Saccharomyces cerevisiae S288C: one gene and its partners. Changing the gene in region 4 together with the main gene of any one other region gives a genetic interaction. Each region holds a gene or a part of one and is shown on either strand. Other genes may lie near its edges. The genes, in order: RPL40A, PSP2, FRM2 and DOG1.

Region 1 (7,180 bases), on a different chromosome or scaffold from region 4:
GTATCTGTGAGTTTGCATCCTTCAATTGAACTTGGATTTGCTCTAATTCTTTTCTCAAAGTCGGTTCTAACGTGCTTGCATCACTATTTTGATCCAAGAATTTATATTGGAATTTGGTTTTTCTTAGTTCCTTATCCAGGTTCTCTATTTCTGATGAAAGTTTTTCAATCGTTGTTTCCTTATTTGATAATTCAGTTAGTAAGGACTTCATTTTCATTTCTGTATCATCGATGGTATTTTGAGCCCATTTGAGTTGCGAATCCTTGCATGAGCGTATCGATTCTATTTCTTGTATCTTTGATTGTAAGTCGGAACGTAATCTTTCCAAATTGTTTTCCAATTCTTTGATTTTGGCTTTGTATTGGCCCTCTTTCGAGCTAAAATCCATTTTATTTTCATTATGACTGATTTCAGACTCCTTTAGTCTCATCTGCAATTCTTTTTTTTCTTTGCAGCATTGTTCGAAATCTCTAGTTAAAGATTCTTTCGTGGGTATAAAGCTGGCAGTTTCCTTTTTCAGTTTGGAAATCTCGTACTCCAAAGATTTGATTTTGATCCTAGACTGTGACAGTTCAGTTGAGGCTCTTTCTTTCTCAACATGTATGTATGATGGAACCCATGATTTTTGTTTCTCGAGTTCAGCTTTTAGGTGGTCTATTGCTTCCTCTAACATACGTTCTTTTTCCTTTGCCAAACCCTTGAAATTTTCAAAATCCTCTAAAGTTGTTTTTTTTTTGCATTGTGATTTCTTATAAATTAACAACTCTTTTCTTAAATTCTGAATAATAGCAGAGTTTTCGACTTTTGTAGATGAAAGTTCTGCCTCAAGTTCTCTAATCTTCTTTTCACGGGCTGCTTCCATAGAAGTGACAGAATTTGTGTTGGCCTTGTTTTCTTCAGTTGATGCCAGCAATTTGTAAGAATCCCGCTCTCTTAATAGGATATTTATCCGGGTTTCCATCTTCGCATTGATGTTCTCCAGTTCAATTATTGCATCTTTTGCTTCTTTAATGGTCTGGTTTTCTACCTTTTGTAAGGTCTTGTCTTGTTTTCCTTCATAATTTTCTAATTTATCAGCCAAAATCCGAATGCAATTCAAGAGTTCAACATTTTTTTCTTGTAGCTCATTCACATTACTGAATTCAACCAGTCTTTCCGTAATGATGGCTTGGGAATCATTTTCATTTACGATATTGCTCGACTCCAGTATTTTTCTTAATGATATCAGTTCATCTTGCGATAACGGCGATGCCGTTTCCTGTATCGCAGATGTATTTAAAAGAAGTAGTTTAACTTGACGGGCCAAATCCAAACGTTGTTTCACCAGAGAATGAATATTTGCTTCACAGCCATTTATCTTCTGTCTCAGTGAAGTTATTTCTCTTTCTTGCTTACGCTTAGTCAAAGAAACAGTTTCTAGTAGTTCTGTGGAACGTTTTAGTTCATGTTCCAATGATTTTGTTCTTTCCTTAAAAGAGATCAGTTCAGGGGTTTTATGCTCTAATTCTAGTATAAAATCCTCCAGTTGATTCTGTAATTGAAATTTCTGATTCCTTTCCTTTATCAATTGTCTTTTCAGCACTTTGATATCAGAAAATAGTTTACCTACTGTGGGAGAAACTGCACTCGTAGTCATTGTAGCTTCTTCTTCCTTGGTACAATCCATAACTATATTCTGTAACCTTTGACACTCATTTTTTGATTTTTCGAGTCTTAATTTTGTGTCTATAAGTTCGTCTATCACATCAGTATGTTCAGGGTTCCTGCAGGAATTATCATCATTTTTCTCTATTGCTCTCAAGGAACAATCTTTTTCCAATGATGTTAGTTGTGAGCGTAGCAAATCGTTCATATTTTTTTGTAAAGTCATTTCTTTGGAGAATTCTGCTTTTTCCACACTTGCGGTATCTTTCAAATTTTTCATTTCCAGTACTTTCTCTTCCACCGACTGGGATAATTGTTTATTTTGATTTAGTAAAAACTTATTGTACGTAAAGACAGATTCATAGTTGGATTGCATTTGGTATAGTTTTTCTTCGAGGTTCTCTACGTGCGATGATTTTGTGACTTCTTCTGTTAGCGTTTTTTTGCTAAAAGATGATAATTTTTCTTCAATTAATTTTTTACTTTGTAACATTAATTCTTTTTCCTGTACTGAGGTATCGTACTTTAACTGTAATGATATAGCATTGGACTTGCACCTTTGTAGTATATTTTCCATTTCCATCAGCTTTCTTCGAAGAAGCTTATTTTCTTTGTTCAAATCATCATTTAAAGAATCATTCCCCTGATCTCTACTCTGCCAAATGTCATATTCTTCTTTAACTCGTTTTTCGTCATTTACTTCTCTCATAGCTTCATGGCTCACATGCAATTGTTTTTTTAGTGCATCTATTTCCCGCCTATATCTGGAACGTTCTTCATTCAGCTGATCTTTCAAGCCATTCAATTCTTCTTTAGCTGTGTTCTTCTGCTCAGAAGATTCATCTAGTAGCTGCTTAAGTTTTGAAATCCTTGAATAGTACTGCGATTTGATCTCATCGACCAAAACATTGAGTTTTGTCACTTCCTCTTCAGAACGTTCAAACTTGGCTATTTTCTTGTATAACTTTCTTAAGACAGGATAGGTAACACCTTGAAGTGATTCGAATGGAACATTTAAAAACTCAGATATTTTGTCCTCCATTGCCGGTTTGCTTCCGCCCAGTGTTCTTTCGCCTTAAATTTCTTTTGGTAAACTTCCACTAGAAAAAGAAAAGCCACCAGAGAAATAAGCGCTTGCAATTTAACGCCGATATTGTTTTCTTCTTCTATTATCTTCAATTATCGATCAACTCTATCCAACAATTCTATAATATCCACTGTTCATTAACGAATATTGGTCTTTTTCCCTTATGGTGAAGTAAATTTTCCATGCAATATCCGGGTAAGCTATCGACAAGTTTATTGACTGCAATTTGAGTTTATTACATCCGTACATTACTAAGATGTATGGTTTTTCTATTTTTGTGCTCCGTGTCGATATTTCGTGGAGCAAACCAGAAAAGATGCGGAACCTCTTAGCACTCCGCCTGGACATAGGCGGAGCATATTCCTCCTATGGGATGGGTTTTGTTGTACTCTTTTCTCTCTAGACAGGACCTCCGATTGCCTCCCTGAGGGTGAGATGGTTTCCGGCCTCAGGACGGCCTTCTCCAGTTTCTAGCGAGGCATACATTCCAACCAAAGGTGTATCAAGAATATCTGAAATTAAAGGTAGTTGAATCTCTATTTGTTGTTGTTATTACCGCTTATTATCCCATAGTTGAGACGACCAAGATTCAAACATGCAAATGTATGCACCATATCCATTCTAAACATAGTTTTTCGAACGTTCAGAGCTTAAAGGGACAATTATTTTAGAAACTGAATTTTTACCCAGTGGAATAACATCGTATCTGTAAAGTCTACAAAATTTTTTATCCATCAAAAATTAAAACAAAGAAAACTGCCAAACTGAATATGAGGAACTTTCCTCTCTAGGAATGACTTAGTGAATGTACAGTGACTTGTGGAAAATATGATTAGATTTTGAGCGGGTGATGCGACTTAACAGTCTCATTGCCTAAGAAATATCCAAATTTGTGGTTCATGCTCTCCCCCAAGATATGACGATGAGAGCTCGTTTAAAATTTTGTCTTCTTCCGAACAGTTATGAAAAAACTATTACGTGTTTTTATGATATCCTTACTAACTTGTCATTTTTTTATAAAATTATTTTTTTAACAGTTTTGTCAAGACTTTGACTGGTAAGACCATCACTTTGGAAGTTGAATCTTCTGACACTATTGACAATGTCAAGTCAAAGATTCAAGACAAGGAAGGTATCCCACCTGACCAACAAAGATTGATCTTTGCTGGTAAGCAATTGGAAGACGGTAGAACCTTGTCTGACTACAACATTCAAAAAGAATCCACTTTGCACTTAGTCTTGAGATTGAGAGGTGGTATCATTGAACCATCTTTGAAAGCTTTGGCTTCCAAGTACAACTGTGACAAATCTGTTTGCCGTAAGTGTTATGCTAGATTGCCACCAAGAGCTACCAACTGTAGAAAGAGAAAGTGTGGTCACACCAACCAATTGCGTCCAAAGAAGAAGTTAAAATGATCTGTTTCGCCCAATCAATCTATACATTTATTTACTGTATACTTTAATGTACATCTTCTTTTATCATACCTACTGTTAAAATCATAATATTAATTCATACAATATACTTAAGAAAACAATATACTTTTCTTAGTTTCATAACTTTGGAATCTATAATGTTGTTTTTTTTTTTTTAAGTATATTTGTATATTATGCATATAAGTCAACGCGTAGCGGTGGTATTACGCGCAAGCTTTTGATTTCTCTTACTATTCTTGGTTGTTCATTTGTTATTTTTCTTTCCCTGATATGCTGCACAAAACTCAGTAAGAATAGTTTTCAATTTTGGTCTTTTGATTGGTTTCGATAAAAATCCGTTCATTCCTGATTCCAAACATTCTTTAATGTTGCTATCGTCAGCAAAAGCGGTTAGAGCGACAATAGGTGAGGTATAACCTAAATCGCGCCTTATCATCTTGGTAGAAAGTAAACCATCCACTTTAGGCATCTGGACATCCATGAAAATCATATTATAATTTTCGCCCTTAGATGTCAATTCTTTAACTTTGTCGAATGCTTCTTGGCCATCGCAAGCCAGTTCAATATTTTCAATGCCCTCCAAGTTCAACATTCTTTTGATAACTTCCTGATTTACATGATTATCTTCTACAACCAAAATTTTGACACTTGTTTCATTTTTATCGTCGTCTTTGACTGTGGGGATGTTTCTACTTGATGTGGCTGTACCAGTACTTTGCAAAAATGGTCTATCAAGATTGACAGAACCTAGACCTTCATGTCGAGAACGATGCTTAGAAGACAAGGAATTTTGTTCGTTAACTTCAGCACCTGTAAGACATATAGAAGGTTTAATATTTTTTTCCTGCAGTTGTTCAAGCCCTCCATTGTCGTTTTTTTCTTCTCTTCCCATGTTAGGATTTCCAACATCTTTCGTCTCATGCTTACCTTTACTTCTTACCTCCGGTAGCACGTCGTTGGTTAGGCTACTTCTATTTGTAGCTGGTGTTGCAACAGATGATGTGGATTGTCGGCTCTTGATGCTTTTAGCAACACTAAACTTGACTCTTCTGTTCTTTCTACTCTCAGGATTAAATTCGTCCTCAAAAGGAAACTCCATATCTGCAAAACTGATCTCTTTAGTTTGATTTAATGGCAAGGTAAAAGTGAATTTACTACCAACACCTACTTTCGACTCTAATTTCATCGTTCCATGCATCATATTTGCTAACTGTCTACAGATTGATAGACCTAAGCCAGTACCACCATATTGCCTGGACAATGTTTGATCACCTTGAACAAATGGATGAAATACAGATTCTTGTAAGGAAGGGTCAATACCAGGCCCAGTGTCTTCCACTTCAATAGAAATAACCCACGTTTTGGGGTTTTCGATAGGTCTTCCTAGGTTACCACCTTCTTCATCATCTGAGCCAGGTGCTTTATTGAACTGACTATTGAAGATAGCGTTATCATACGAGCTGGTAGTTGTTGATACTATAGAAGATACATCATCATTCGAAGCTTTTTCCCTGTCATTCACTTTCTTATAGATACTTTCATTCGCAACAGTATTTCTTTTTGTTATCTCTTCCTGAATTGTCGAAGTGTCTCTATTACTTCCTAGGGAAGTAGCGCTGGATTCTAAATCGACACTTTTCCTATGGTTCGATAAAGTTGGAAGATCGTATTTATCTGTAGTTTCTAAATTTTCGGTTACTTCTGTCCCTTTTTTGATATACACTTCTTTGTATTGCTTCTTCTCGCTTAATTCTTTGTCGTATTCACCCAACAGTTTCATTCTTACATCAACGGTACCATCTACAGGGGTGAACTTTAGTGCATTGGACACTAGATTCATCACAATTTGAATAATTCTGTTGGAATCACCCCAAAGAACCATTGTCCTTATCAAATTAGGAAACAATGATATTGAAAGACGAACACGCTGATCCTTTGCAACTTTACCAAATATCGATTTTATTTGTAAGGCAACATCGGTAATGCAAAAATCTCTTTTCTCCAGTTTCGTTCTTTGAAGAACGTTTTTGGAAAAAGTTAACAATTCCGTTAGAATATGAAGCAAAAGCTCACCTGATCTAAAAATGAGTTTTAAACTATTTCTTATTTTGTTAACATCGGTTTCTTCCATTGAAATAGCCGTCATACCCAGAATACCATTTAAAGGCGTTCTCAATTCGTGCGAAATATTGGCAATAAAGACGGTTTTTGCTTCATTTGCGGCCTCTGCCTCAATCTTGGCAGCTTCGAGTTGTTTTGTCCTCGCCCTAACTCTTTCTTCTAGAAGAGCATAATGTTGGTCTAATGCGTCTGTCATAGTATTGAAGGTTTCTGTTAAATCGGAAAGTTCATCAGAAAATAGTCTTCTATAATCTGGTAGCCTAGCTTCAGTTAAATTTGCAGAAGTTGTGAGAATGTGAGATCTATTGGAACTTCTGTCAGTGTCATTATGTCTCAAGGAATGTGGTCCAAGCAAATCGTGATTTAGCGAGCCATCCATTGATATTTTAGCATCGGTGTGGTTATTCGGTATTTTGTTCTCCTCCTCTGGAGGTGACATTTTCTCATTTCCAAGGTTTATAGCGCTTTTCATGCTACTATTTGCTGAAAAAGCTGCACCACTGCCATGGCCACTGCCTCCATGGCCACTTACGCTTGTGGTGCTGCCAGCTTCAGCAGTATTAAATTGTAATAACGAAGAAGGAACAGCAAATCCAGAACTAAATCCTCTTTTGAATGAACTGGCTCTGCTTATCGTTCTTGGGGTGCTCGGTCGAAGGCCTCTCCCCTCTGTAATTAATTCAGTTGCCTTTTGTAGACGTACAATTGGTTGCACTGCCCAGTGTGCTAGAGGAAGGGTTAACAAAATGACAAAGACACCAATAGCGATGACAGTGCCGGTGATGATTTTTGCTAGTTTCGTTGCTGGAGAAAGGAAAACCGACTCAGGCTGTGAAACTATCGCGACCCAATTAACTAGGTTAAACGAACATGGTGAATAGCCTAAAGCAGTAT
Region 2 (8,791 bases), on a different chromosome or scaffold from region 4:
CACTCCGAGGTACTTTCCATTGCCACACCCGACGTCGATACCGATGGAACCCATTGGGCGAGTCTTCAAGAACTGAGTCACTATGGGCCATGGCTTATATCTAGTTTGCGAGAAATGCGGAGCTATCTCATTATACACTTTGTGAACATACTCCTGTTCTTTTTCAGCCGCTTGGTTTATCTCCATGTTGGTTCTTAACCTTTTATTTCTTGGCTCTTCGAGACCTCATCTCTGTTCAGTTCATTACCGAATTTTTTCTCTTATTCCCATTTCTTCGACTGAAAAGTTGAAAGAAATTGAAAAATCAAGAAGAGGTATATAGAGATAATTATCCATATAAATGAAGAGCACAAAGTAAGTTTGAGCTTCAACAGCGCAACGATGACCGAACCTCAAGGTCCTTTGGACACCATCCCGAAAGTGAACTATCCGCCAATACTGACAATAGCAAACTATTTTTCCACAAAACAAATGATTGACCAAGTCATCAGTGAGGACCAGGACTACGTTACGTGGAAATTGCAAAACCTGCGAACGGGTGGTACATCAATCAACAACCAATTAAATAAATATCCAAAATACAAATACCAGAAAACCAGGATAAATCAGCAAGACCCGGACTCTATCAACAAAGTCCCAGAAAACCTGATCTTTCCACAAGACATTTTACAACAGCAAACACAAAATAGCAATTACGAAGACACCAATACCAACGAAGATGAAAATGAAAAACTTGCGCAGGACGAACAATTCAAGCTCTTGGTAACCAACTTGGATAAAGATCAAACTAATCGGTTTGAAGTTTTCCATAGAACATCCCTAAACAAAACCCAGGTCAAAAAACTGGCTAGCACAGTAGCTAATCAAACTATAAGTGAAAATATTCGTGTTTTTCTGCAAGCGGTGGGAAAAATATACGCTGGTGAGATAATCGAATTGGCCATGATTGTGAAGAATAAGTGGTTGACAAGTCAAATGTGCATAGAGTTTGATAAGAGGACCAAAATAGGCTATAAATTGAAAAAATATCTAAAAAAATTGACTTTCTCCATCATAGAAAACCAGCAATACAAGCAAGATTATCAATCCGATAGCGTTCCCGAAGACGAACCTGATTTCTACTTCGACGATGAAGAAGTAGACAAGCGCGAAACTACGCTGGGCAACTCGTTGCTACAGTCCAAATCCTTACAGCAATCAGACCATAATTCACAGGACTTGAAGCTACAACTCATCGAGCAGTACAATAAGCTCGTCCTCCAATTCAACAAACTAGATGTAAGCATCGAGAAATATAACAACAGTCCCTTATTGCCCGAACACATCCGTGAGGCGTGGAGACTCTACCGTCTGCAGTCGGACACTTTGCCTAACGCTTACTGGAGAACTCAAGGAGAAGGGCAGGGATCCATGTTCAGATAGCTGCCCATAATTGTCCAACGGCTCCAACATATATCAATCTATATATAAACATATATATAATTTTTAACATGTCGTTTGAAATGACATGTCTATTTTTAAAAGGATAGCATATAAATTAATGAAAAAAAAAAAAAGAAAACGATTACTGCAGATCTTCTAATTCTGTTAATCAGCTTTCTCTTGTGAACCATTGGCAGGTGGGTAACATAAAAGCACAATACAATAGCTTCCATTATTAGTTTTGTTTGTTTTGGCAATACATGTTAAATCTTTTTCTTTCAAGTTAAATATAAAGATTATATATAAAAGTACTTCTTTGGAATACATTTGATTATACTTTTCTTTATCGTTTTATTTTTATTTCATCGTTATAGTCGCTTCTTTTCCCCTAGAGGCTTTGTCATAAAACAACAAATCAACCACTCTCTGCTTATCTTTCCTTCCTTTTCAAAATGGGTAATTCAAGTTCAAAATCTTCGAAAAAGGATTCACATTCGAATTCCTCCTCGAGAAATCCTCGTCCTCAAGTGTCGAGAACCGAGACTTCCCATTCTGTGAAGTCTGCAAAATCAAATAAATCTTCAAGATCAAGGCGATCTCTTCCTTCTTCGTCCACTACGAATACTAATTCAAACGTCCCTGATCCCTCCACTCCATCAAAGCCCAATCTTGAGGTTAATCACCAACGACATAGCTCTCACACGAATCGTTACCATTTCCCATCTAGCTCACACTCGCATTCAAATTCTCAAAACGAATTGTTAACTACTCCTTCATCATCCTCTACTAAGAGGCCTTCTACTTCTAGAAGATCAAGTTATAATACTAAGGCTGCTGCTGATTTACCACCTTCAATGATCCAAATGGAACCCAAGTCACCCATTTTAAAAACAAACAATAGTAGCACACACGTATCCAAGCATAAATCTTCATACTCATCTACCTATTATGAGAACGCCTTAACCGATGATGACAATGATGATAAAGACAACGACATCTCGCACACTAAAAGGTTTTCTAGATCTTCGAATTCTCGTCCGTCCAGTATAAGAAGCGGATCAGTGTCAAGAAGGAAATCAGATGTGACCCATGAAGAGCCTAACAATGGATCATACTCCTCTAACAATCAGGAGAATTATCTCGTTCAGGCATTAACCCGGTCAAATTCTCATGCATCTTCGCTACACAGTAGGAAATCTTCGTTTGGATCAGATGGTAATACCGCATACAGCACCCCATTAAACTCTCCAGGCTTGTCCAAGCTAACAGATCACTCTGGTGAATACTTTACCTCTAATTCAACCTCCTCATTGAATCACCATTCAAGTCGCGATATTTACCCGAGCAAACACATCAGCAATGATGATGACATTGAAAATTCATCTCAATTGAGTAATATCCATGCATCAATGGAAAATGTTAATGATAAAAATAATAATATAACAGATAGCAAAAAAGATCCGAATGAGGAATTTAATGATATAATGCAATCTTCCGGAAACAAAAACGCTCCAAAAAAATTCAAAAAGCCTATCGATATTGATGAAACTATCCAAAAATTACTGGATGCGGGCTACGCTGCTAAGAGAACAAAAAATGTTTGTTTGAAGAACAATGAAATTTTACAGATTTGCATCAAGGCTCGTGAAATCTTTCTTTCTCAACCTTCCTTATTAGAATTATCACCTCCTGTAAAAATTGTAGGCGACGTTCATGGCCAATATGGGGATCTCTTAAGGCTTTTTACCAAATGTGGGTTCCCACCATCCTCGAACTATTTATTCCTAGGTGATTATGTGGACCGTGGTAAACAGTCACTGGAGACTATTTTACTATTGTTTTGTTACAAAATAAAATACCCTGAAAATTTCTTTTTATTGAGAGGCAACCATGAATGTGCTAACGTCACAAGGGTTTATGGATTTTATGATGAATGTAAACGTCGTTGTAACATCAAGATCTGGAAGACATTCATCGATACTTTTAATACATTACCATTAGCTGCTATCGTAGCCGGAAAGATTTTTTGTGTTCATGGTGGATTGTCGCCAGTTTTAAATTCTATGGATGAAATCAGACATGTAGTTAGGCCTACTGATGTACCAGATTTTGGCTTAATTAATGATCTTTTGTGGTCCGATCCCACAGATTCACCCAACGAATGGGAGGATAACGAACGTGGTGTAAGTTACTGTTATAATAAGGTGGCAATTAACAAATTCTTGAACAAGTTTGGGTTTGATTTGGTTTGTAGAGCTCACATGGTTGTGGAAGACGGTTATGAATTTTTCAATGATAGAAGTCTCGTTACGGTGTTTTCCGCGCCAAATTATTGTGGTGAATTTGATAATTGGGGGGCTGTAATGAGCGTCAGCGAAGGTTTATTGTGCTCTTTTGAATTGTTAGATCCACTAGATAGTGCAGCTTTGAAGCAAGTTATGAAGAAAGGTAGACAGGAAAGAAAACTGGCTAATCAACAACAGCAAATGATGGAAACAAGCATCACAAATGATAACGAATCTCAACAGTAAATTTACTGACTAAAAAATCCAGAAGTATTATATTCATTATTTCATGAACAACTCAACGATGTACATATGCACATATATATATATATATATATATATATATATATGAAAGACAGGAAATAGAAGTTCCCTATCTTTTTCTTAATGACATTAAAAAACTTCCTTTCATCGCCTACTGCCTTCGCGTGTGTATTGAATGCTCATTCGCTCTATACAATCTAGAACTCTCCGAAATTTCGTTCTACTTTGCTTTCGCTATATTAAGCTGTTTATATAAATTACGTAATGGTATATAGTCATATAGCTAAATTCAATGGTTCGTTTCTATAGATTGGTTCTCCTTAATTTTAATTTTTTATTGCGTATAACGTGAGAGATTATTTTCAACCCCCCCAATACTTACGAAACTTCATAAAACTTCTTTAAGAAATAAGGGCCTATAAAAATTGTGAACTAATCAAGAGAAAATATATAATCAAAATTGATTAATCAGAAAGACGAATTTTTTTTAAAAAAAAAATTCAAAACAACTGAAGGGGAAATGGACAAAAAGCAGCATAAGTAGTAAAAAGTGGAAACAAAATAAGGTCAAAAAAATCTGAGAGGAAAAGGAACGCTATATTACATTACTCAGAACTGCGTAACCGACTAGAACAAAAAAAGGAAATAGAGGAAAAAAAAAAAAAAAAAAAAAAAAGAGAAAAGAAAATTAATGGGTCAGTACATGACTCATAAAGGCATGTCTGTTGTTCTGTTATTGTAGTTGGAGTAGTTACCGCTGCTTCCACGTCCACCACGACTACCTCGATTGTTATATGCGCCTCTGCCAAATCCCCTTCCTCTGCCAAATCCTCTTCCTCTCGAACCTCCATTCATACCGCTGCTGTTATAGTTACCGCGTCCATTGTTCCTTATAGAATCATTATTACCTTGGCCAAGGAACCCACTTGCTGGTTTGAAAATGGAATATTGTTGTGTATTGGATGTTGAGTTCGTGAAATCATTCTTTTTATTTCCTGAGGCATCTAAAGATGAATCCGAGGTTAACCCTTCTTCATTGTTTTGTCGATCATGATATCTTGAACCGTTATTATTATTACTACTACTATTATTATTATTATTATTATTATCATTAGTGTTGTTGTTGTTGTTGTTGTATGAGCTGCCACCACGATATCCGCCGCGATTACCACGATTGTTATGCCCACCTTTATAACTGCTGCCATTGGGGCCTCCACGATATCTATTACTCCCTCTAAAATTGCCATTATTGTTATTATGGTTTCCGTTATATTTGGTTCTGCTCATACTATGTTCCCTTTCCACATTCTTGAAAGTGAACTGTTTATCAACATCGGTTTCTGAACCTTTATCTTTATCATTTGAGACATCTAATTGAGCTTTATCGTCGCCACCTTTCTCAAAGCCTTGTTCATCGCCACCTTTGAACTCGTCCGATTTATCGGGCTTAGATTGTAGTTCAAGAGCTGGTGAGTCAAGCTTGCTTAATGGAGTTCCTTTCTTGGAAGTTTCATTGACCACAGATCTCTCAACTACTTCAGAGTAACTTAAAGGTTTGGGAGTTGGGGTTGCAGAATGTGATTCCTCCTCTGTAGGTGTCTGCTTTTTCAAGATTGTGATCTTGCTGCCTGTTGCAGTGGTTGCCATAGAATCACTACTAGGGATTAATGATGCCCTCAGGGTTGTTGTATCTTCCACGTGTAAATTTTCCATTTTTTCTTCAATGTCCAAAATCTTCGATTGCGTATCAACCGGTTTAGCACTTCCAAAAGGATTGGATTTTGACCGCTGAGTCTTAGTAATGAATGGTTTGCCAGCATCGTCTTTAGGGTCTGTTAATAATTTCACCTTCGTGCTGTAATCCTTAAAATCTTCGAATTCTGCGGGCGCTGTTGTAATGTGGTAAATTTCCTTCAAAGGAGTGGTCCAATAGTTCAAAATTTTGTCCATATCACGGGATGTATATAACTCGACAAATGCTACCTTCGAGTCACGTTTGAAATTTTGATCAAAGATTGACCCCGATTTCAAAGTAGAAATACTTGGATTTTTATTTATCTCCCAAAACAGTTTGAACTTAATAAACTTGGTAAACTTTGCTTGAAAAAGATCTTCAATGTCAAAGTTGGAAAATCTCGGTGGTAAATCAGAAAACTTCACAATATAAGGAGGACCTTGCTGATGCTGCAGCGGGTGGTGATGATTTGCAAAGTCCCCCATGCTACCACCACCAAAAGGCCCTGCATTAGAAAAACGTGATCTGTTCATGGGTCCATGACCACCGTGTGGGTGCTGTTGGTGACCATCACGTTGATGTTCGCCTGCCTTGGTTTGTTTCAAGATGTCAATATTCGTAGTATTGCTTATAGCATCCAAATTAATATCTTCCTCATCCCATACTGACTCGCCTAAAGTGTCGTTCCCTAGAAATTCTTCTAGGGACATTTTCTTCGTAGTGCCATTATTATTAGATGTATTATTTGTTCCTGAATAGAAACATATGTAGACAATTCCGTGACTTTCTCTTCTTTGCGGAAAACCAAGCTGATTAGAGAAAGCAAAAACATTGCAAGACCATGTCTAATCAGCTTGATTTTTAGAGAAACGATAAAAAAGAAGAAAAGAGGCCAAGAGAGAGCATTGTTCAATTGTTAGTGGCTATTTAAACTTGATCTATTTTCTTAAAAATCCACATGAATATTATATCCTCTTTCATGCAATAATTCCTACGTATGACTGAAACAGAAGAAAATAGTAAACATAAAATACTAAAACAAAAAAAAAAAAGGAAACAAAAGAGGACCGTTATGGATCAAAAGGGGTTAATGAGAAAAACCGAGGCACATACCCATTTCTTCCCGTTCCAGCACTCTATGTGATTAAGATCGAGTGAGCAAACGTGTTTTTCTAGGATGATTTCTTGACCAATTCTTTGTGGAGATAAGCTTTAAAGTCTGAAGAACGTATCTCTGTAGTTCTTCTGTCTCATTTAAAATAACCCAAAATTTCCGAAATTTCAGTGCAGCTCAACCCTAAATTAGACCTAATTGAAATCAGTAGGGTTAGCTCGTATTTGAAATATTACAAAACAAGTCCTATAAAACTCTAATCTTAACCCTTATGTTAGATTTTCAGCACGTGATTTTGCATCTTTTTTAGTTTTGCTTAAAAAATTTTGACCTCTACCTTTTCTCTCTCTGTTTAATCAGGTAATAAAAAGTTCAGCCAAAAAGTGTGGTTGTGAAATTTTATTCTGGCGATGCGCAATCGGAGTCTTTTCTATTTCTTGCAACTCGCAGAAGAAAAGGTATTTTACTACATAAATTGTATATATTCCTTCTCAGGATCAGCAACATAAGATATTGGCTTTGATATTATATTGCATCTTATTGCATTGTGTGTTGTGGTTAAGACAAATAAATAAAGGAAGTTTCTTCTTTTTTTTCCTTCCTTTTTTTCCTCTCTCAGATAAAAGTTCAACAGAGCCATGGTGTCGAAGGATCAAACGTCCTTTAATAAGAGGTGGACCTTGGGTCTTCTGATGTTGGGTCTAGTCATTATTTTGTGGGTTTTATCGTCCTTCCTGATAAATTTGATCTTCGAGGATGACTCGTATAGAAAACCATTCTTTATCACGTACACCAATACTGCCGCCTTTATCTTTTATCTTTTTCCAACTGCAAAGGCCGTTGTGGTGAATTACAAGGACACAGGCCGTGCAAACGTTCACCGCGAACTAATTATGGAGGAAGAAGGTACTGGTAGTGATAGCAATCGCTCGGTTGATATGACTAGCCCACTGCTTACAAACCTTGAAGCAGGCACGCATGCCAACCAAAAGAAGAGGCTAACGTTATATGAAACAATCAAGTTAAGTGCTGAGTTCTGCATACTTTGGTTCACAGCTAACCTTGTGACCAATGCCTCGCTGGCATTCACATCGGTGGCATCGCAGACAATCCTCTCCACTACTTCTTCCTTTTTCACCTTGTTCATAGGTGCTATTTGTCATGTTGAATCGTTGAGCAAGTCCAAAGTACTCGGGTCGTTCATTTCCTTTGTAGGCATAATCATGGTCACCAAATCAGATTCTCATCAGCGCTACCAACGCCATATCGCGGACGTTAGTGGTGATGATAACGATGCCGTGCAAGTTCTGATAGGCAACTTGTTGGCACTTGCAGGTGCTGTACTTTACGGTGTCTACAGTACTTTATTGAAGAGAGAAGTCGGAGATGAGACTCGTGTTAACATGAAGATTTTTTTTGGCTTTGTTGGTCTCTTTAATTTACTTTTTCTATGGCCATCACTGATTGTATTGGACTTTTTTGGCTGGGAACCATTCTCTCTGCCCAAAGATCCTAAAGTTGTGGTAATAATCTTCGTCAATTGTCTCATCACATTTGTTAGCGACTTTTGTTGGGCAAAGGCTATGTTACTAACGAGTCCTTTAACCGTCACCGTAGGATTGAGCATAACGATACCCCTAGCAATGTTTGGTGATGTAATCTTTAAGCACAAAACCATGTCTGCGCTCTATTTATTTGGTGCTACCCTCATCTTAGGCTCATTTTTCATCATTAACAAAAGCTCTGAGGAGGAACATTTTGAGAACTCAATAACGGCTAGCAATTACGAATCAGTGGAGGTGCCAGCAGCAAACAACTGATCTTAAAAAAAAAAAAAATAGAAATAATAAAAAAAACTATTAGCATCTAAATTTCAAAGTCAGAAGAAATTTTTCCCTATATAGAATGTATATTATAATTTTTCTAATAACAATTTCATTCCTGTGTGATTTAATAATCTTAAACATTTTT
Region 3 (7,077 bases), on a different chromosome or scaffold from region 4:
TACTGGCACGATCCGGGCGCTTTCAATGGTAAACATGCCATTGACAGATTTAAAGGTGTTGCTGCAACATTAGTGACTGCTGCTTTTGCCTTTGGTGGTTCAGAGTTTATTGCCATCACCACTGCAGAACAATCTAATCCAAGAAAGGCCATTCCAGGTGCGGCCAAACAAATGATCTACAGAATCTTATTCCTATTCTTGGCTACCATTATTCTACTGGGTTTCTTGGTGCCATACAATTCCGATCAATTATTGGGTTCTACCGGTGGTGGTACTAAAGCCTCGCCATATGTCATTGCTGTTGCATCCCACGGTGTCCGTGTCGTCCCACACTTCATTAACGCCGTTATTCTACTTTCCGTGCTGTCCATGGCTAACTCCTCCTTCTACTCCAGTGCTCGTTTATTTTTAACTCTATCCGAGCAAGGTTACGCTCCTAAGGTTTTCTCCTACATCGACAGAGCCGGTAGACCATTGATTGCCATGGGTGTTTCTGCATTGTTTGCCGTTATTGCCTTCTGTGCTGCATCTCCCAAGGAAGAACAAGTTTTCACTTGGTTATTGGCCATTTCTGGTTTGTCTCAGCTTTTCACATGGACTGCCATTTGTTTATCCCATCTTAGATTTAGAAGAGCCATGAAAGTCCAAGGGAGATCTCTTGGAGAATTGGGTTTCAAATCTCAAACTGGTGTTTGGGGATCTGCCTACGCTTGCATTATGATGATTTTAATTCTTATTGCCCAATTTTGGGTCGCTATCGCCCCCATTGGTGAAGGTAAGCTGGATGCACAAGCCTTTTTCGAAAACTACTTGGCTATGCCAATCTTGATTGCACTTTATGTCGGCTACAAGGTCTGGCACAAGGATTGGAAACTGTTCATCAGGGCAGACAAGATCGACCTAGATTCTCATAGACAAATCTTTGATGAAGAATTAATCAAGCAAGAAGACGAAGAATATAGGGAACGTTTGAGGAACGGACCTTATTGGAAAAGGGTCGTTGCCTTCTGGTGTTAAAAAAAAAAGCATTTACTTCTTTTATATTTATTCATTTTTGTACTTCTGTTTTGTAGTAATAGCATACGTGTAATGATAGACGATTTTCATTTTAATTCTAGTCCTTTATGAGCGAAGAAAAAAAATAAAAAGCACTAACGATTGCGTGATGGAAGTGGAGAGGAAAATATAAGTGAAATAATATGAAGTGAGAGAAAAATGATTTCCTTTTGTTCTTAATGCAACAGAAGAGGTTTGATTTCATCCGCATATGCAATTTTGCCTTAGTAGGGGTGCAACCGTTTTCGTCGTGCATCAGGAACGATCTTCTTGCCTTTTTTAAAAATCTACGTTAAGAATTTTTAATTTTGTTAAGGTGTAATTAGCATTAGAATGACTGAAGCATTCAGTTTAACCAACTTGTTCTGCGATATTTTTACTTCTGAAATAACAATGTCTGCGAGTGTTACTTGATTATTAATCAATATTTGTCAATGCTCTTCCGAATAATTTTTCAATTTGTCAGCTTTGCTCTGCGCTTTTCCTTACTGCGACAATAAATGGCAAAGGAAAAAAAAATACAGTGTCATTTGCAGATATGACACACTTTAACACCTGAGTGGGTCATCACTACTTTGTGTTTGTCTCCACCCATGTTGTGATCGAAGAGAGATATAAAGGTTGATCATTTTTGGTTTTTTAAAGCTATATACACCATCAAAATCAAGAACACCAGACCTCCAAGCCAAAGAAATGTCCCCAACTGGAAACTACTTAAACGCTATTACAAACCGTCGTACCATCTACAATTTGAAGCCCGAATTACCACAAGGTGTCGGTTTGGATGATGTAAAGAGAACTGTACACGTTATTCTCAAGAATACGCCAACAGCTTTTAACTCACAAGTGAATCGCGCTGTCATTATCGTTGGTGATACACACAAAAGGATATGGGATGCTGTTGCGAGCGCAATGCCAACTGCTGAAGCCAAGAAGAGACCAGAGTCTTGCAGAGATGAGGCTTACGGTTCAGTCATTTTCTTCACTGATGAAGGACCAACTGAAAAACTGCAAAGAGATTTTCCAGCCTTGGCAGCCGCTTTCCCAACATGCGCCGCTCATACGACCGGTGCTGTGCAAATTCAGTCTTGGACTGCCCTCGAACTATTGGGATTGGGGGCTAATTTGCAACACTATAATGACTACGTCAAATCTGCTTTGCCTCAAGATGTTCCTATTGCGTGGACTGTACAATCTCAATTGGTCTTTGGTGTTCCAACTGCCTTGCCAGAAGAAAAGACTTTTATCAATAACGTAATCAACGTTTATCACTGAACAGGAAATTCGCATATGAGGAGATCTTAATTTATCTCATGAAGTAATGATACCTCAGCGATGTGCTCGCTCGTTAGTATGCTTCATAAATTCATTATTATTTTTTTTTGGAAGTGTTTTTCGACAAAAGTTGCATTTTTACGAAGGATATGTAAACTCAAGAAGTACTAAATAAATATAAATACAATTCGAAAATTTGAAAAAAGTAGGAGACAACACTTTCCTTCCTCACGAAGAAGTTAAGCTTGGGTTTGTGACTTACTAACGTCAACGTACAATCGCGTTACAAACAAGATGCTTGCATTCTTACCTTACATTACAAGGACTTAGACGAAGAAAAAGTTCAGAAACACTGCTTACACTATTCACCAGACCCGCTCCTTCTCCTAACATCAATAACGAACAGCACTATTGATGTAAGAACGTCTTAGCTTAGTAATAAAGCTCTACCTTGTTATCGTACAATAATCCAGTATACCGCTTTTACTAATGATTATTCGAGAAAAATCGGACTGTGGCGTTTTACGTGAAAATTACGTAAAGAAAAAGATCCTGGGGTGCCTCGAGCTTTTCGGGCTAGGGTCTTGGCATTTGCACCTTGTCCAAACTACAGTATATAAGGACACCATACTGAAGGAACTGACTACATAATTTGTACTTTTTTCGTAGACTGAAGTATCCTATATCAACATATATACAAAAAAACAATCCAATATCATGTCTGCTGTTGCAACTTATTTGAAAACTTTAACTGCTCGTCGTACTATTTACGCTTTGAAACCGGAGTTACCTGGTGAAATTACTATCAACGACATCCAATCCGTCGTCCAAACCATCATTAAAGAAACACCCACCGCTTTCAACTCCCAGCCAAATCGCGCTGTTATCTTGACTGGTGAAACTCACAAAAAAGTTTGGGACGAAGTGACTAAGGCTATAGAAAGCCCTGCCGGTCAAAAGAGGCCTGCTTCAGCAAGGGATGAGGCCTTTGGTTCTGTAATCTTCTTCACCGACGACAAGGTAACTGAAAAGCTAAAGGCTGACTTCCCAGCGTACGCAGCTGCATTCCCTAGTTTCGCGGACCATACCTCTGGTGCCGCTCAAATCAACTCGTGGGTTGCCTTGGAGGCAATGGGCCTGGGTGGTCACCTACAACACTACAATGGTTACATAAAAGCTGCTTTGCCAAGCAAAATCCCTGAGTCTTGGACCGTACAAGCTCAATTAGTCTTCGGTACCCCAGCCGCACCTCCAGGTGAAAAGACCTACATCAAAAACGATGTTGAAATCTTCAATTAAGGAACAGTATATAAGTACAGAATTATAGGTATAGATTAAATGCGAACGTCAATATTATTTTCATCAGTCGTATTCTTGGAGACAGTCACCAGGCACAATGCCTCTATCTTCATTGAGGTATCTTTTATCGTCAACACTGACGTGAATAGAACCCTTTTGTGTATTACACTTTTCTACCAGACACCATCCATCGGTATGAGTGGCCAGAATTTTAACTTTTTCACCCAGCGAGATTCTTATTTCGTCTGTCAATCTAGGCTCGTAATCCTGAATAACTGTATATGTCTTCCCTAATTGGACGCTAGCCTCCCCATTATATTTGGAGTTTGGAGTAAGCGGCAATGGTTTAGAACGTGACAAATGTTGTAAATGCTGATACATTTTACTTTGTCTTCTTTTTTTCCTTTTCTTTAGTGGTTTTGATGGGGTGGGTATTATCAACTCGTGTTTCTCAGTGCTTTTATTGCAGTCATGATGATCATTGAAGTTGGTTTCCAAAGTTTGTTGTGCAGTAGTACCGTATATCACTGAATGGGGTCTTGCCGTGATTAGATCGATGTTATTGTTGCGATAAGATGTGATTTGTGAATCTGGCGTGGTATTACCCAAGTTATTCACACTGTCATTTGCATCCAGAGGCGTGTTATTATACTCCAAGATGGGCGATCGTTCGTCAGGCATTATATCTGACTCATTGAAGTAACCCTTACTTATCCGGGAGAGCATTTTCATTTGCTTCAGTTGTGGAGCCCCAGTTGGGGTCTTTAAAGAGGTCTTTGATAAGCCATAATCCTTAAAGTATGTAGAACCCCTCAAGAACCATCGAGATAGTGGAGATTCGTAACTCCATTTCTCACTCGTTTTTAACGCAGTTTTCTTTGAGGACACCGTTTTTTGAGAAGGTAAATCATTATACGAGGGCATGCTGGATTCAATATGGACAATATTCGGTGGTTTAGTATACAGGAATGCATCCACAACTTTCTCTTCCTCCATTTCGTTCACTTTGGGGTCTAACGAAATGTTTTTACCAGACCAAGCATATGGGTTCTTCACCGTTTTCTTAGGTGTCAGTATATGCTGCGGTATTATGGGTTTGGAAATTTTGTACTGTATTTTTGAAGACATGTTATCACCCGAGGTCCACTGGGTGTCGTTATACTTCTCAATATCACGATTAGAATATGAATTCTGATCCTCACACTTACTCTGCCAAAATAACCGTGAGAACCAATTAGTGCGGCGACAATATTCCTCTTCCCTTGGAATCGTAGCTGACATGGGTGGATTTGAAATGGACACCGAATTCCTTTTAAGGTAGAAATAACACAAAAGGATAAGTAATCCGAAACAGAATATTCCGATGGGAAGTCCGATTGAAAGCCCAATTGTGCTTGCTGAAGATGATTTTGGCTGAGCCGCCACATTAGAAAAGAGTAGATTAGACGGTGTAGAGCGTATTGATGTCGCTATTGTCGTTACTGTTGTTACACTCGTCGAGGAACTAGCTTGCGAAGATATGTAATTTGATGCTAAGGTAGTAGACATTGCGGCGACTGTCGTCAGCACAGTTGTTGTCGTCTGCATTATTGTTGCTACCATTTTGATTTTCAGAAACTTGATGGCTTATATCCTGCTCTTAAAGGAAAAAAGATAAAGGATGTCGTATCCAAATATTTTAAGAGCAACACATACCTTACAAAGCCACTCTTACATTGTCATTTAAATAAAACCAATCCCGAGAATTACGTTATTTGTTTCAAATTACAGACGTTTCATGTTTGTTTCATCATCGCACCAAAATGAGACAGCGCGAAAAGTGACAGTGCAATTATGCCATTCAATACGTCAAAAAGGGCATCCTGCAGAGATACAACTCTGTTTTGAAAGGGTCCACATGGTAAATATGGAAGCAAAAGAAGGATTGAGGCATCACTGACAACAAAATTGTCTTGCAGCCCAATTAATAAAAAAAAATAAAGTTATATATATAAACAAATACGTAAACAAAGGATAGAAGGCGAACTGAATCATCGTTCAGTAGCGGTTCTGGTTGCCGTTATTGTTCTGTTGAGAAAAGTTGCCAGAAAAATTGAAGGATTCGTGCTGTCCATTGGAGTTCTGGTTTCCGCCGTATTGCGGTCTTCCGTACTCATTGGATTGCTGTTGACCATTCTGTTGCGGTCTACCATACTCATTAGCCTGTTGCTGGCCCCCATAACTCGAATTTGAATTGGAGTTATTGCCCAGGTAGGAACTTGCCATGGAAGCCAAAGCTGAGAATGAACTGGAGTGGCCTTGTTGCTGCTGCTGACCCTGTTGTTGATGCTGATAGTTTTGGCCTTGTTGCTGGTATTGCTGCTGGTTGTTTTGGCCTTGTTGATTGTATTGCTGTTGGTTGGATTGAGTTTGTCCACCACCTAAGTAAGATTGAGCCATGGAGGCCAATGAGGAAAAAGCACCACCAGATTGTCCCTGTTGTTGTTGGTAACCACCGTTGCCACCTTGGTACTGTTGATTATTGTAACCTTGACTATTTTGGTTACCGTTTTGATAGGATTGGTTATAGCCCTGTTGACTATTGTTGGAGTTCTGATTATTATTGGAATGCATAAAAGAGCTTGCCATAGAAGCCAGTGCTCCAAAGGAGGAACCACCGGAGCTTTGATTTTGACCTTGCTGATTATTGTTGTTGGAATTCATGAAAGATGAAGCCAAAGACGCCAAAGCAGTAAAAGAACCTTGACCTTGACCTTGTCCTTGACCTTGACCTTGACCTTGACCTTGTCCCTGACCTTGGGAATTGTTACCTGACTTAAAGAATTGAGAAGCCAAGGCAGCCAGGCCGGAAGCACCCATACTTTGGCTCCCGCCGCCAGAACCACTTAGCATTGACATGACAGTCCCTACGTCAAACCCTCTGTTAGAAGAACCTTTATTTGATGAGTGTGTCATCACTGTGGCTAACAAAGCTAGTTTTCCTAGTTGCGTTTGGGAAGAACCCTTAGAGTCTGCCATTAAAGTGTTCATAAAAGATGAACCACCACCAGCAGCACGATCTTGCGAGGCGTCACTACCACCACTACGGTTGTCCATGACGTATCCTGCGATTTTTTGAATTAATGATTCAATAGTTGACATTTGCTCGTCATTGGGGTTCGACTGAGCTGCGGATGTCAACTTCGCAACAGCTTCTGCATGGTTTCCTTGAGAAAAATGAGACTCAGCCTCTGAGATTAACTTATCCGTATCCATTTCAGATCTTTGCTATACGTTTGTATCGCTATATGTACGTTCTTTTAATGAACTTTCTCCTTTCTTTATCGTGTAGCTTGCTTGGGTATCTTTTAATGAGTTGCGGACAGTGAGATTTTTCAGAAGGGCAATTGGCCAAGACACCAAAAACGTTTGGACGAGACAGGCATCAAAGGACAAGGTAAAAGGCGT
Region 4 (7,141 bases):
GCCCACGTAAACTTTTCGCCAATTACAAATTGCCCGTCCACGTTCGTCGTTCTAACTTCAGATTGCCTTCCAACCCTTCCACCCCAGTTATCATGATCGGTCCAGGTACCGGTGTTGCCCCATTCCGTGGGTTTATCAGAGAGCGTGTCGCGTTCCTCGAATCACAAAAGAAGGGCGGTAACAACGTTTCGCTAGGTAAGCATATACTGTTTTATGGATCCCGTAACACTGATGATTTCTTGTACCAGGACGAATGGCCAGAATACGCCAAAAAATTGGATGGTTCGTTCGAAATGGTCGTGGCCCATTCCAGGTTGCCAAACACCAAAAAAGTTTATGTTCAAGATAAATTAAAGGATTACGAAGACCAAGTATTTGAAATGATTAACAACGGTGCATTTATCTACGTCTGTGGTGATGCAAAGGGTATGGCCAAGGGTGTGTCAACCGCATTGGTTGGCATCTTATCCCGTGGTAAATCCATTACCACTGATGAAGCAACAGAGCTAATCAAGATGCTCAAGACTTCAGGTAGATACCAAGAAGATGTCTGGTAATCAGCCCACTGATCAAGCCTTCGGCGCGGTTGTTCAACCACACGATCTGTATCAAAGAAAAATAAGTTAGATAACCAAAAAAAAAAAAAATTTCATACTCACTATAAGAAATCATACGCAGTTCAACTTTTGCTTTTACATACAATTTTATCTATATATTCGTGCTTCTGCGATGTCCTTATTTATTTAATCTCTCGTCAAAGGGTTGTTTACCTGGATAACGATACCGTTCTCATTGTTCTTAACCACGGAAACCTGTGTCAAATCACAGACCACATAATCTGCACCTGCGTCAAATAAAACGCTCTTATCATACGAGGATGTTATACCCACAGTAATTGCGCCCATTGCTTTGCCGGCCTTTATGCCCACGGGTGCATCTTCAAAGACAACATACTTCAGATCCTGTTTACCAGTTAATTGCAAATCTTGACGCAATAAATCACGAGCTCTTGAGTAACCCTCGGGATCAGGCTTACCGTTCTTCACGTCAAATCCAGTAATGAAAACTTTGGGCTTTCCAACATTTTTCAATATTGTCTCGAACCATGAAAATGCCAAATATGGAGAACCAGAGGTAACGATAGCCCATTTCCTTTCAGGTAACTTTTTTTGAGTCTCAGTATCTACATCTAACGATAACAATAAATTCTCTGCACCAGGGATAAGGCTTACTGTGTCCAAATAATTATCTGCCATATCCTTTTCTAACGCAAGAACACCTTTATTATCGGTATTGTCCAATTTTGGAAAAAATTTCTTCATCATTTCTTGTGATCTTGCACCATGGGAATGCTTGAATAACTCAACAGGATCAACCCCATGCTGACGGCATAATTTTTTCCAGGCACTTTCCGCTGCAGTTGTTGTGCTGACAATAGTCCCATCTAGGTCAAAAAGACAAAGATCTACTGAAAATTGTGGCATTTTTTTTTTTTATTTTTTTGACGTAAATTTTTTATGTATATAGCAGTAAATGTATCGATAACGTGTTGGCTAATACTATAGTGAATAACAAAAAGTACTCTTAGTCTCCTTTTAGCATTTGTTTTCACCAAAGAAGATGTTGCCAGCGCATTTTAAGTTTTTGAAAAATCCTCGAGAATTACCCCTTCCCCACATTTAAAAATAATGACGGAGCGTATTCAATCTACGGAACTATTCTCTACGAGAAATAATAAGATCATTACGTAGTTCTTACATCCTGACGCAATTGTGATTAAAGATAATGATACAAAACTGAATACAAAGCATTCCAACGAAATACAGTTGATGGAAGTGTTTTGCGCTAAGGAAGATTAACATATAACCACACAACCATCTTCGAAGAAAAACTCAAAAAAAATCTTACCTCTTCAGTACCTAAAATGACATACATAATTCGACTTTTTGCTTGTCCATATGTTTTACATCTATATATATTCGTTCTTTTGTCACATTTTTGTTTACTCAGGCCCTTGTCAAAGGGTTGTTTACCTGGATGACAATACCGTTTTCATTGTTCTTAACCACGGAAACCTGTGTCAAATCACAGACTACATAATCTGCTCCTGCGTCAAATAAAACGCTCTTGTCATACGAGGATGTTATACCCACAGTAATGGCGCCCATTGCTTTGCCGGCCTTTATGCCCACGGGTGCATCTTCGAAGACAACATACTTCAGATCCTGTTTACCAGTTAATTGCAAATCTTGACGCAATAAATCACGAGCTCTTGAATAACCCTCGGGATCAGGCTTACCGTTCTTCACGTCAAACCCAGTAATGAAAACTTTGGGCTTTCCAACATTTTTCAATATTGTCTCGAACCATGAAAATGCCAAATATGGAGAACCAGAGGTAACGATAGCCCATTTCCTTTCAGGTAACTTTTTTTGAGTCTCAGTATCTACATCTAACGATAACAGTAAGTTCTCTGCACCAGGAATAAGGCTTACTGTGTCCAAGTAACTATGGGCAATATCTTTTTCTAGAGCAAGAACACCTTTATTGTCTGTATCATCCAATTTAGGGAAAAACCTTCTCAAAACCTCTTGTGTTCTTGCACCATGAGAATGCTTAAATAACTCGGAAGGATCAACACCGTATTCGTAACACAACTTGGTCCATGCTTTCTCTGCGGCCACTGTTGTACTCACTATGGTACCATCTAGGTCAAAAAGACATAGATCAGCTGAAAATTCTGCCATTATCCTTTGAACTTCTTACGTGAGTGGCAACGTAACCAACAATCTCCATCAGAACGTTATTTCCAACAGAATAATCGCGATCATTAAAAATGAAAATAAAATTAAATAAAATACTTGCAATAAAAAAGTTCCATGAAATTTATATCATTAGATGGTACCAGAGCCTATAATCTCATAGATATACGCTTCCTTCTATAGCTGAACAACGGTTGTTTGAAATGTCGGGGTTAATGTCGGAATATATAGGAATACTCTGACGTGTCTGTATCACGGAACATAACCGTGATTGAAAATTACAAGAAGCCAAGACTCTAAAGGATATGCGGTAGAAGGCGTGTGTAGAAGAGCCCAGTGTATATTTTTTCACCGATAAGATGAAGTAGATAAACGGAATTTCTGGCAAGTTACTTGGCAAAAGGATACATAGCACGAATTACTTTATTATAAATATTGTAACTGATTGCCTTGAATTGATGTTAATGAGAATCCTAGGACCCTTGGTTTGGTCATTAGCTTTTCGTTTTTCTTTGCGCGTCGTTAAGAATGAAAAAGTTCTAATATGTATCGTATCATAAACGACAGCAACTTCGAGAAGTACATTGAATGGAAATCATTCTGCAACACCTTTATAGCTTCAACATAGGTTAAGTTTTAAGCATTTCAAGTGCTTTTCAATTAAGCTATAGAAAGTTCTTTCGTTAGAAAGAAAGACAGTTAAACAAGCGGCAAAAGTTGATGAGCAATGAATTGGTCTTTTCTACTACAGCTGGTAATAACAATATTGTTAATTGTGCTGGGCGCCAACTGGTTGCTAAGCTCTTTTCTACTTGATTTTAAGAGAGATTTAACAGGGGTGGCTTTGTCACAGCAATCTAGCATATCCAGTGTTCGTAAAGAAAATGAAACAGCATATTATCGAAGCATTTTAGTGCCCACAGGATTCCCATTGACGACAGGATTAGGGCTATCTTTAAAATACAAAATAAGAAATGGCAATTTCGGTGATGTTTGGAATGCCATAATGGAAGTTTCCAAGGGAAAAAACATAATTAAATTTACAGGAAGAGAAAAAAGTTATTCGTTGAGTGAACTTAATGGTATGGCCAAGCGCATATTTCCGAAACTTTCCAATAAGAATTTCAAAAATATCGGTATAGCTAATTCTATTGCTACCGTAGAGGGTTTTACTCTCTCCTTGGCTTCCATGATGACCTCTATAAGAACAGGTTCAATACCTCATTTCTTGCCAGCTGTTCCTAGACAACGACTAGAAGATGTTGATGTCCTGATCATCGACTCATGGAAGTCTTTTAAGATGCTAAACGGCAGCGAGGATTGGTACAAGCTTATTGTTGTTTGCGATGATCCTATCGAATCACTACAATTTGATGCGAACTGTGATGTTATCACTTGGAAAGAACTTATCGACGGTTTTACCAAGGATACAGAGTACCAATACACCCCGCCAGATGACAACTCTGATGATAAGAAACTTTTTGCATACGTAACTTCACCATGGAATGGAACTAATAGTTTTAATCAAATCTGTCTGGTGAGTAATATAGCGGAATTCATCAAAGGGTTCCCCTTGGGAAATGAATTGAATAGTAATGAATACCTAACCATTTCGACAAAATTGGCAAATTCTAGTGCAAGCCTACAAATTTGGGGAAAGCTTTTTGCAGTTTTGCTGCATGGTGGGTCTGCATCTTTCATCAATCCTACAACGATAGATTGCGAGTCGTTGCAAGAAACTACGTTACTGTTTACCGAAACAAAGGATGTTGTCAAATTAATTGATTCTAATTCTAGAAGTGGGCTGCTGAATAAAATCTACTTATCCTGGGCCACGAACTTACTGAGCGAGGGTATTTTTACGAAAATTGCCAGAATCGAGCCACATTCTCTTGAAAAATTAAGATGTGTTTATTTGGCAGATAATGTGAAAGATGCTGAGGTTATTTCGACATTTCCTGAAAAAATTCCTCAGCTAAAAAAGACTAACCGAAGAATCACCCCAAGCACTGAACAATTGAATAAAATAAGAGCTCAATTAGGATCCCGTGTAGTCCTCGAGTTATATTGTCCCTACGCTATCATGGGACCTGTGGCACATACCAATTTTTATGACTATAGGGTTTTTGGAAAATCTGTGGACGATAACGTTGTATGTTATGGAACACTAAGTACAACATTAGAAGGAAAAATGGTAGAAACGGAAACAAACCCTCATTTGAACATAGAGAAGAAGCAGGGTATGTTATGTATTCGTGGTTTTAGCATAGGTAAACCAGTAGAGTCCGATCGTTTAGAGAAAGCTTTGCATTTAGCTGAAAGGTTTGGAGGAGGTGAAGGATGGATGCCTCTAGTTGGCGTTTTTGGACTATTTGGCCAAGACGGTTGCTTATACATCTATAATCAATGAGCATTATCTATCGCTTTATTATTTATTATTTATTATTATCATTATTATTATTATCATTATTATTATTACTACCAATACCTTCTATATCCCTGTGATCAGCTAAAATGATTCAAATAACTGTCATTTTAATCGTACATTTTATATTAGGCCTAATGTGCTGACGATCAGTCATATTTCAAATGGCCATCAACACAGTTCCAAAAGTCTGTGATATATTTTGTTTGTTCGTCACTTTCGTTATTAATTGTTCCCCTCACAGCCAAATATGTCCTATTGTCGACATCAATACTCCATTCACCTGGATTGGCACCTACTACACGACCGCCCACTTCTTTCAAAATACACCATCCAGCACACACGTCCCACGAATAGCAACCACCATCCCAATAACTATCAAGGTACCCCATAGCAATATATGCCATTGTCATTGCAGATGATCCTAAATTTCTGAATCCATGAACAAAACCGTAATCACATGATAGTAATTTTTCATATGTGGCCATTTTTGTCTGAAAATTCTTTCCCTCTCTAGCGGAACCTGGCTGTAATGCCACTACGGATTTATTTAGTATTAGAGAACCCATAGATTCCAATTTTGATTTATAGTCATAGTCCTTGTTGTTAACTCTCATCCCATTTCCTTTAGAAGCGGATACCAGAAGATTAATGTGAGGATTATATATAACGCCTACTACGGGCTCTTTGTTTACTGTGAGCCCAAGAGAGGTACAGCTAAATGGGAAATCATGAACAAAGTTTGTAGTCCCATCAATTGGATCAATAATAAAGGTAGGATCATCAGTAATCACGGTCTCCCCTTTCACATAACTTTCCTCTCCAATAAACTTGAAAGTTGGATATTGGGTTTTTACCGATTCCCAAATTAACTTTTCGACCTGTTTATCGATAGCAGTTACAATATCAACGCTCCTGGAGCCAGTCTTCAAGTCATAATCCTTTTGAGTGCCGGACTTGGATTTGATGATTGGTCCTACTTTTTCAGTAGCCAGTTCACAGAGGAATTTCTCGATAGAAGCTAGATCAATGGTCATGGTATATGTGTATATGCGTGTACCAGCTGTTGATTTCCTTATTCATCCAAAAAAAAGAAAACACTGGGGTTATTTAACAAGCAGTTAAATGTGAAGTAAGAGATAAAAGACCTATATTAATACCATTTTTGGAAAAGCAACGTGCGCAACAATGAAAGTCACTCGATGCATCCATTATTCAAAAAAAAGTTTTTTTTTTTTTTCCATACATCATCAGATGAAAAAATCTCGCTATGACGCACGCCAGTCAATATTCACTCAGTTCTTCCGAAAGGAAGCAGAAGAAAGTTCTCTATACTTGGAAATGTGTCAATGAAGATGTTATCAGATTCATTTTCTGCTAGCTACTATATTTCTACATAAGCAAGTAGTAATCTCTTTATTAATTACACGTGGTTTTGACTCATTGGCATATGTATATATTTGTGTTGTAGGTGCTCGTGAAAAAAAAAAGCTATTGATCATACTCATGCTCACGCAAGTAGGTAGCAACGATTTCACGATCTCTGCTCACCCATTGCGCCTTGGATCTAATAGTGTCTAAGGCTTGAGCCAGGGTTTGATCAAAACCTTTAGTGACCTTTCTACTATAGAACGCACTAATTTTTTCAAGGGCTTCAAAAGAGGTAAAATTAGTTAAACCCAATGTCAACACGCCACCCAACACAGGCGAGCCTGGCTGTAATCTCTTAGCAATTTCGTCCCAGTGTTCTTGCATCCAAGCCCATAACCTTTCAATACCCTTCTTATGAACTCTAATGCCTTGCATTGGGATGTAAAAATCTTGATTCAAAACTGTACCATCTAGCAGATAAGACAATGTCCTTTCTAAAAGTTCTTTGTCTTCAAATCTGCCCAAAGCTCTCAAAGCGATAATCTTTTCTTCTGACGAAACAGGGTTTTGATAGATGTTGAAA

Evidence for each region.
Region 1: mutations in DOG1 (region 4) and RPL40A together harm fitness more than expected from each alone (negative genetic interaction), as found in Saccharomyces cerevisiae (one large-scale study listed by BioGRID).
Region 2: mutations in DOG1 (region 4) and PSP2 together harm fitness more than expected from each alone (negative genetic interaction), as found in Saccharomyces cerevisiae (one large-scale study listed by BioGRID).
Region 3: mutations in DOG1 (region 4) and FRM2 together harm fitness more than expected from each alone (negative genetic interaction), as found in Saccharomyces cerevisiae (one large-scale study listed by BioGRID).

Annotation. Positions count from the first base shown.
Region 1 is NC_001141.2:65,382-72,561, forward strand, and holds RPL40A (ubiquitin-60S ribosomal protein eL40 RPL40A fusion protein), read left to right. Parts: upstream 1-3,326; coding exon 3,327-3,334; intron 3,335-3,768; coding exon 3,769-4,147; downstream 4,148-7,180. Other genes in the region: MLP2 (Mlp2p), read right to left, coding at 1-2,686; SLN1 (histidine kinase), read right to left, coding at 4,410-7,180.
Region 2 is NC_001145.3:234,620-243,410, reverse strand, and holds PSP2 (Psp2p), read right to left. Parts: upstream 6,824-8,791; coding exon 6,820-6,823; intron 6,458-6,819; coding exon 4,680-6,457; downstream 1-4,679. Other genes in the region: TRM9 (tRNA (carboxymethyluridine(34)-5-O)-methyltransferase), read right to left, coding at 1-186; TATA-binding protein-associated factor TAF11, read left to right, coding at 382-1,422; PPZ1 (salt homeostasis regulator), read left to right, coding at 1,875-3,953; YML018C (uncharacterized protein), read left to right, coding at 7,459-8,640. UniProt on the Saccharomyces cerevisiae protein: DNA polymerase alpha mutation suppressor. Suppressor of group II intron splicing defects of a mutation in MRS2. May play a role in mitochondrial mRNA splicing.
Region 3 is NC_001135.5:69,958-77,034, reverse strand, and holds FRM2 (type II nitroreductase), read left to right. Parts: upstream 1-1,749; coding exon 1,750-2,331; downstream 2,332-7,077. Other genes in the region: amino acid transporter AGP1, read left to right, coding at 1-1,017; HBN1 (putative nitroreductase), read left to right, coding at 3,049-3,630; FUS1 (Fus1p), read right to left, coding at 3,694-5,232; prion domain-containing protein RNQ1, read right to left, coding at 5,668-6,885. UniProt on the Saccharomyces cerevisiae protein: Type II nitroreductase, able to reduce 4-nitroquinoline N-oxide (4-NQO) into 4-aminoquinoline-N-oxide (4-AQO) via 4-hydroxyaminoquinoline (4-HAQO), using NADH as reductant. involved in the oxidative stress response.
Region 4 is NC_001140.6:192,062-199,202, forward strand, and holds DOG1 (2-deoxyglucose-6-phosphatase), read right to left. Parts: upstream 2,748-7,141; coding exon 2,007-2,747; downstream 1-2,006. Other genes in the region: NCP1 (NADPH--hemoprotein reductase), read left to right, coding at 1-557; DOG2 (2-deoxyglucose-6-phosphatase), read right to left, coding at 744-1,484; DDE1 (Dde1p), read left to right, coding at 3,490-5,172; inositol monophosphate 1-phosphatase INM1, read right to left, coding at 5,337-6,224; AAP1 (arginine/alanine aminopeptidase), read right to left, coding at 6,679-7,141. UniProt on the Saccharomyces cerevisiae protein: Phosphatase that is active on 2-deoxy-D-glucose 6-phosphate (2-DOG-6P), as well as on fructose-1-P.